Linked DNA regions of Danio rerio. The protein of the gene in region 1 binds, or shares a complex with, the protein of each later gene. Links are inferred from orthologs where the notes say so. Each region holds a gene or a part of one and is shown on either strand. Other genes may lie near its edges.

What was found.
Region 2: the proteins of thoc2 (region 1) and thoc3 are in contact, whole or in part, in a cryo-EM structure (PDB 7ZNL), measured with the Homo sapiens proteins. The link is inferred for Danio rerio from reciprocal best matches to the Homo sapiens genes THOC2 and THOC3. Residues at the interface, in NP_001075019.1 of Homo sapiens: Tyr395, Arg396, Pro401, Lys402, Gly403, Ala404, Lys405, Gly406, Ser407, Pro446, Ile447, Ala450, Arg454, Cys500, Asn501, Ala502, Cys503, Met504, Glu506, Pro563, Arg566, Gln567, Lys570, His573, Tyr603, Leu604, Thr605; in NP_115737.1 of Homo sapiens: Asp193, Met196, Ile208, Val217, Gln218, Asn221, Ala222, Pro224, Ser225, Ala244, Asp245, Ala246, Leu247, Ser249, Trp251, Asp252, Asp254, Glu255, Leu256, Val257, Cys258, Val259, Cys261, Ser263, Leu265, Asp266, Pro268.

The regions. Positions count from the first base shown.
Region 1 is NC_133189.1:13,018,343-13,022,172, forward strand, and holds part of thoc2 (THO complex subunit 2), read left to right. Parts: intron 1-476; coding exon 477-618; intron 619-704; coding exon 705-862; intron 863-2,446; coding exon 2,447-2,575; intron 2,576-3,830. UniProt on the Homo sapiens protein: Component of the THO subcomplex of the TREX complex which is thought to couple mRNA transcription, processing and nuclear export, and which specifically associates with spliced mRNA and not with unspliced pre-mRNA.
Region 2 is NC_133189.1:29,777,311-29,781,753, forward strand, and holds the start of thoc3 (THO complex subunit 3), read left to right. Parts: upstream 1-1,546; 5' UTR 1,547-1,558; coding exon 1,559-1,738; intron 1,739-3,800; coding exon 3,801-3,957; intron 3,958-4,273; coding exon 4,274-4,443. UniProt on the Homo sapiens protein: Component of the THO subcomplex of the TREX complex which is thought to couple mRNA transcription, processing and nuclear export, and which specifically associates with spliced mRNA and not with unspliced pre-mRNA.

The DNA.
Region 1 (3,830 bases):
GCAGGTAGGTTGCGTGACTATGATGAAAAGGCGGATGTAGTACGTCCGAATTCCATTCATACTTTCACATTCATACTGTATAGAACGTACTTTTCTAACGACCGAGTAGTACGTTTAAATTCAAATGCAGTACCTACTGAGTAGTAGGTGGTTTCGGATGCAGCCACAGTCTGCTGCATAAGCACATAAGACATATTTCACAGACCTTGTAGAACTGCCATGCTTGCATTATGAAAAAAAATGTCTCATGCATTTTGTGTCATCTGATCAGCTCTTCTGTATTGGCAGTTGTGGAAACTGCCGATCAAACTCTCCAGATTGATTTTTCAGCTCATTGTTTTTTATTTTTAATTTTTTTTTAGATATTTTCAATTTCTTGTATATTTCTAACACCATAACATAGCTAGAGACACTGCTGAATCTTTGGGTCTTTCTTCCATCAGATATTTCTCATAAAACTGTTCTCTACATTGTAGCCTCCAAATAAAAAGAAAAAGGAGAAGGAACGCTGTACAGCTCTGCAGGACAAGCTACAAGAAGAGGAGAAGAAACAGTTGGAGCATGTGCAGAGAGTTCTGCATCGTCTCAAACTGGAGAAAGACAATTGGTTACTCGCCAGTGAGTGTTTGAATAATCTCTTTTGTGCTCAGGTTTTTTTTTTTTTTTTTTTTTTTTTGGACTCATGCCTTTTTTTCCCTCCTCAGAATCCACTAAGAATGAAACCATCACTAAGTTCCTTCAGCTCTGCATCTTCCCCCGTTGTGTCTTCTCAGCCATTGATGCTGTTTACTGCGCTCGCTTTGTGGAGCTGGTTCACCAGCAGAAAACGCCCAACTTCTGCACCCTACTTTGCTATGACAGAGTGAGTCTACTGTTGTATGACAGACCATTAAAGGCACTTTCAACAAACAGGCTATAAAATATATATTTGTTTGTGTGTGTGTGTTTGGTCTGGGCTTTCCTGGGCAATTAATTGGAGTGGATTTTCATGTGCATTTTGTTTATAAAGCTGCTTGTAGTAAACCTCCAGCACATGCTTTCAGAATAGCATTTACTTCTCAAAATCATACTTCATAAACCAACAAATTTAAAATATATACCCAGGGAGAATTTTTAGTTATTTATCATATATTGACATGAAAATGTCAATTGTTTAATGTTTAATGTCTATTGATTATGCCATCCAATGGCAATAAGTTGCTGATGTGGCAATAAATAAACCAAATGGACAAGCTACAAAGTCAAAACTGATTTAGTTGGACAGTAAGGACACCGAGATAATGAGAGGTGTCTGTATTGTTTCTCAATGAATTAGGGCTGTGTAGTAAATTTTGCATGTGAAATTACTACAAATGAGGAGTATCTAAAATAAATGCTTCTTTTAGATTATTCTGTAATTATGTAATTATTGTTCATGCTGAAGTGCCCTCTGACCTTGGTAGATTTACTATTGATCACACAACTGTGATTCCCTGACAAGATGTGCATGACGATCACAGCTATGCTCAGTTGTGTAATCTCTTCATGAAAATGCCATCTTAGGGTGCTTTCACACCTAGACTTTTGTTTCGGAACCCGTCTCATTTTGCAGAGTTAGCGCGGTTCGTTTGGCATATGTGAAACCACCAATCGCGCTCTGATCTGCGCCAAAACAATAGCTCCGAGATGGTCTTGGCTCGATTGAAACGAACTCTGGAGTGGATCGATTGTAGCGAGAAAGCGATACGATCCGTGCCCAGTCATATCACAGTGTTTTATGGATATTATAATAGGCATATGGCTATATGAAGAAAATTATTAGTAGGGCGGGAGGTCATTCAACAGACATCCCAAGTCTCCCAGAAGTTTCGGAGGTCTGCCGCAAATGCACAGAGACTCCAGGATGCCCGTAAACGAGCGATAATGTCCCGGAAATCACGCATCTCCCTCCCGTTCCTCAAATACGTTGCACACCCTTCTCACCCCTTCCCACCTTATCCTTCCTCGCTCTTCAGACACGTCGCGTGCACCCTGTCAAACAATACCAAATCACTACCACACCTGACAGCTGAGCAGGACTCTATGTGAGGAAAGTTTACTCACACATGACTTGTTTTAGTTCTTTTGGTCCGTTTATAAACTTTGCAGTGTGAAAGCGAACCGGACCAAGAGCAAAGAGCAACAATGTAACAATTTTAATCCCTGTTTCGGGACAACTGAATCGATTCAAAGGTGTGAAAGCACCCTTAATTCTGCTAAACAACAGCTTGCTTGCCATGTGTTTCTGTGCCAGTGACTGCAGTCAAAGAGAATACAGTATTATCTAGCATTCAAGTTTGATGCTGTCATTTAGTTTTTATCTAAATGTTCAAAGTATTTATAATCATTTTATATTCATTAAAAATCCATGACCCTGTGTGCATTGTCAACCTACTAACCCTCTAAATCTGTTTCTTTATTCATCTAGGTCTTCTCTGATATCATCTATACGGTAGCGAGTTGCACAGAGAATGAGTCCCGCCGATATGGTCGTTTTTTGTGTTGCATGTTAGAGACTGTCACTCGATGGCACAGTGACAGAGCCATTTATGAGAAGGTATGGTGTGCCTTTATGATTGATGATTCGTTTAAACTGTTAATGCTGTCTCTACACTGTCCTAGTAGTAGCTGTGAACTGTGAATTTTTAGATGTTTGCAAACAAAAAAATGACGAAATCAAAAATAATTTGCAGTAATTACTTATTAAATAACAAAATGATTTTGTCTTTTTAAAATGAAACTTGGTAACAATAAATTATTCTGATTTTAAGAAACGTGTAGAAATGAGCCCCTTTCACACATACAGACCTTTCTGGAAAATTACCAGCAATTTTCCGGAAAGGTCTGTATGTGTAAATAGGTCCTTACTGGTAAATTTGTTATAAATAAAAATATATATAAATTCATAAAAAAAATACATACATACATACATACATACTAGGGATGTAACGGTATCAGAATTTCACGGTTCGGTAATACCTCGGTATGAATGTCACGGTACGGTATTTATTGAATCATTTACAGGAAAAAAAAAACTTTTGAAAATACTCCAAAAAAAGTGCCAAAAGTGTCAATGACATACAAATTAGCCATCTATCTGTAAGCTTTGAAACACTAACTTCAATTTTAATAACAAAAAAATATTAAACCATGTAAAAAAATAAAGTTTCAATTTAGTATTGTTGAAAACTCATCACATTCAACATTTAATCACTCACTCACTTAGATAGAGATGGGTTTAAAGGAAAATTATCATATAATTATAATCTGGTAAAAGCTGGTATCTCTGGGCATTTACAATGTCCCCTGCAACAGAAAAAAACCCCTCTCATTTGGGACTGAGGTTTCTGGAACAAGAGAGATATGACTTGGCCCAGGTTGACAGCAGTGGGGTAACATTGTGCATTGTCTTTCCCCCACTTGAGAAGACAAATCATGAGTGAGATAGAGGTCTCTTTGCAGTACAAGTCAATGTCTGCATCAATCTGAACAGTGTGCTGTGTTTCTGCAGTCCCCATGACTGTTATTAGTCGTATTCCCCAACTTGCAGGCACGTGCACACATAGGGCTCAACCTGTGCAGTGCACATGCCCTTTTTAGTCTTGGATAGAAAATGCCCTTCCAAAACGATCAAAAGTGCCCCCGCGACGCGACACACCCTCCGTCCAGTCCAGCCCTTCAGTAGGCGCGCGACAACACCTCTCTTGAATATGCGCGCTCAACCCCCCCTCGGCGCTTTACAATACGCGCGCCACAACACAGCTGATCAGAACGCGCGCCACAACACAGCTGATCAGAACGCGCGCGACAGC
Region 2 (4,443 bases), about 17 Mb from region 1:
GTGGTGACCCCTGATAAATAATGAACAGCATTCTAACAAGTATGACACTTCATTGAAGTTTGAAAAGTCATCCATCTGTATTTGTAAAATATTTATTGGAGATAAATAGACGAAAGAAGCCAACCTCCACAACCTCATCCACTTCGACTTCTCCCTCACCGAAGTGCACTGGATATTATTAGGAGGATGGAGCTCCGCCGTGTGGTCAGTGGGAGTCAGCGCTGTACGTGGATTGACCATGGACTCTGCCCGCGAACTGATGTCCTCTTTACCAAAAACACTGATGACAAAACTACTTACACAAAGTACACAGAAAATAAACTTTATTTTTATATGTAGCTACTCCTGACTTTCTAAAGTTCCTACAACCATCCAAAGTAGCCTACCACAGTGACCTGACTTTGAGTTCTTCCATTACACGAGAAGACAATTTAACAAACAACATAAAACACAGTAGGCCACTGACTGAAGTTTAAATGATCTGATTTATAAATGAGGCTTTTGGCTTAAATTATATATAGCTCATATTCCATGATTTTGACATTTGACAGTTTTGACATTTTTATTTATCTCAATGTTTTCAAAGCTTTTTGCCTATAGCCTAGCCTAGTTTACTTAGATTTGGTAGACCTATGATTGTACTTCACACTTATATGAACTTTTGGCATAATACAAACCTTTTGTTTCATTTTTATGAGATATAATATAATTTTGACCTTCTCTTAATTGACCATTATTTGATTTAGGATTTTCATCTCACAATGTTTACCCCATCATTTCAACTTATTTATCACATTCATAACAAATTAGCACATTTTCATATTTTGTCATTTTTTTAACCTAATAGCAATTTTTACAAAAAAAAATAATAAAATTTCTTCACTGTTAACTGTTTATCTCATAATGTTTACTTTTGTGATTTTTTTTTCATTTTATATCATCATTTTAAATTTAAGATTTGTATCCCTAGTGAAACTGCTGATCATATATTTGTTTTTTATTTGCCCTCATGCACAATGCTTTTGGATTGAACTTTTTTTTGGTTATTCATTGCAAAATACTAATTCGTGTTATCTTTTAAGGATATCCTGTTGGGTTTTTTCAATATTCCCGATAATAAAAGTAAGGAGTGTTTCATAATTAATCTCCTTTTAATCCTTGCTAAATTCCATATACACAGCTGTAAATTCTCTCACTCTAGGCTATATTTTGTTTTAATATTTTTGAAAAGGAACTTCAACAGTACATTAAAACTATTGCTTCCTTAAAACACATGATTTTATAATATGTGTTGTTTGTTTTTTAGTAAATTTTTTCCCTTGTATGTGCTTATTTGATGTTTTACTTCTCTGTAAAACTCATGTGCTCTCTTTGTAACAAATGTATGATGATGTTATTGTTACCCTGACAATAATAAAACTAAAAAAAGAAAAGAAAGTTATTTGTATCAGACTTTTTTAAACAATATTATGTAATTGCACTCCCGTACACTAGGTGTCGGTAAGTAACGCAATGCCACAGATTAAGCTTAAATACGCGACGAAGCAGAACTTCAAGCATGGCGTCCTCGTACTATCAGGAGATGCAGGAGGTGTTCAGGAATAACAATAAAAGCAGAGAGTTCCCGGCTCACAGTGCTAAAGTGCACTCGGTGGCCTGGAGCTGTGATGGAAAACGACTGGCGTCCGGTTCGTTTGACAAAACTGCCAGCGTATTTGTCCTGGAAAAAGACCGACTGGTGAGCTTTGTCTTCTCCATCATCCTTCGTTGTCCAAAACATATATTTAATTTATAAACCACGTTCTGCGTAGAACAAGCTGTTTAACATTTAATCTGTAAACTAAACTAGTATCAGTTTTATGCTACTAACGTTAATACCTATTTTTAGATATGTGTGTCTTTTTCATTAAGTACTGATACGTATTCAGTACACTTGTTGATATTTAGCCAACAGTTATTATTTAGCTACTACTACAAGTTAGTTTTCATTAGATGAATTTTAGATTCATTTTAGACAATAAATTAGACACTCGTAGCTATTAAATAGGTACTACTCATTAATTAGACACGTATGAATAGTATATTTTTGTTTAAATACTATTTACTCATCATCACACACTTGTTCTCATTTATTTCATACTAGTATTTATTTCAAAAGTGTCAAGTAACTACTTCTATCGCAGTCTGTTATTGGAATGTGAGGTTTTTAATAATTGTCTAGTACATATTTTTACTATGACTAGTTATTCTGCAAGTACTGATATTTGGGTGGATTTTATTGGAAATAAGGGCTTTTTCAATATGTACTAGTGTATAATTGTTAGACACACAAAGTGATCACGCTCTACAATAAGGTTCCATTGATAATGTTAACTAATTTACCAGCATAACCTAATAATAAACAAAACTTGTACAGCACTTCCATTCAGGCATTGGACAATAACCGTTTTCAAGGTATACCACGGTTAGGAAAAGTCAAGGTTTTAAAACCTCCAACATTTTCTTCTATACCATTCCTATGGTATATGTACGATTTTTTTTAATTTATGGTTTTTGTTGTTGTTGTTTTAGGACAACAGTGTGTCCAGCAGAAAAGATATGCAAACTTGTTTTACATGTTTACTGTTTTAAAATATTTAAAGTCTTTCTCAAAATAAAATATATTGTGTTCAAAGGGGGAAAAAGTTTTTAGTCTTTTACCCTGACATTTAAAAATAATATATTTTAGAACAGTAATCACAATACCGTCAAACCGGGATATTTTTGTCCAAGGTTATCTTACTGTCAGAATCTTATACCTACAATCCCATGCCTACAAAAATCTAAAACAGCTCTCATCTCCTGATGCAAAACAGCGCTCATCTCCTGATGCAAAACAGCACTTGTTAACATTAGTAAATGCACTGTGAGTTGGCAAGAACCAACAATGAGGCTTATTTTCAGTAAAAAACATTAACAAAGATGTATAAATACTGTTTGTTGTTTTTCATTATAGTAACCTCATTATCTAATGAAACCTTATTGTAAAGTTGTACTGTCATATCTAATAAATGCTTTGTTTTTATTTAGAAAGCAGTATTTACTTATTAGATACTCCATCATTTATTAGAAACTCATTCTTATTACAAGTACCTCTTTAACAGATGCTAGTAGTTATTTATTGTATCCTAGTACTCATTTATTTGGCACAAGTATTTTTATGTAGTTGTTATGAGTTGCTACTAGTATTACGAGTCACTACTGATTTTTATTTTTTATTTTTACTTGTCACATTTTGACTATTTTGGATGACTGTATAAGTGTTCAATTAAACATGTGCTAGTTAAATAAAGATATAATAAACATGAGTAGATGGCGTTGTATGTACTAGTATCTTTTCAGTATGTACTTAATGAATAAGAACTAGTTTCTAATGATAATCGGTAGCTAATGAATTACTACCAGTTTATAAACATTGTCACAATCGGAATACATTGTGAAAACTGACATCTTGTGACAATTGTGACATCTCAATGACAGACCTGTACAGAAGTCAATGGCAAATACCTAATCAAGTTACTAATTAATTTAATGTCTGCAAAATTACTTATCATTTCATTGACATTATGCATATTAATTATGTTTTAGCTGCAATAACAAGCTTTTATAGGTCATCCATTTGCCAAAAACATTACTATACTTATTCTATATCAGAAAAAACGGTTAATATTCACAGCATTGGCTACAATGCGGTTTATTATTTTACAATTTATTTGTCTTGACTAGATGTGATCTAGCTCATGTATTATCATATGTATTAGGTGAAGGAAAACAACTACCGTGGGCATGGAGACAGTGTGGATCAGCTGTGCTGGCATCCCACCAACCCTGATCTGTTCGTTACTGCATCAGGAGACAAGACCATCCGCATCTGGGATGTGCGGACCACCAAATGCATGGCCACAGTCAGCACAAAAGGTGAAGCTCTAAAGCTTAAAGTGATAGTTTACACAAAAATGAATACTCTCTCATCATTTACCCACCATTGAACACAAAATATAACATTTTAAAGAACATTGGAAATCGTTACTTATTGACTACCGTAGTATTTGTTTTTCATTTTATGGATGGCAATTTCCAACATTTTTCTAAACATCTTCTGTTGTTTTTAACAGACAAAATAAACTCAACTTTAGAAACTCTTGAGGATTGAGCTATGGCTTTCAATGTTATATGTTTTATTCTTGTGAGATTATATTATTTATTGGTTTATTGATTGTCTGACTATGTTTAGGGGAGAATATCAACATTTGCTGGAGTCCTGATGGTCAGACCATCGCTGTAGGTAACAAGGATGATGTTGTAACGTTCATTGATGCCAAAACACACCGTCCACGTGCTGAGGAGCAGTTCAAGTTTGAGGTCAACGAAATCTCCTGGAATAATGACAATGACATGTTCTTC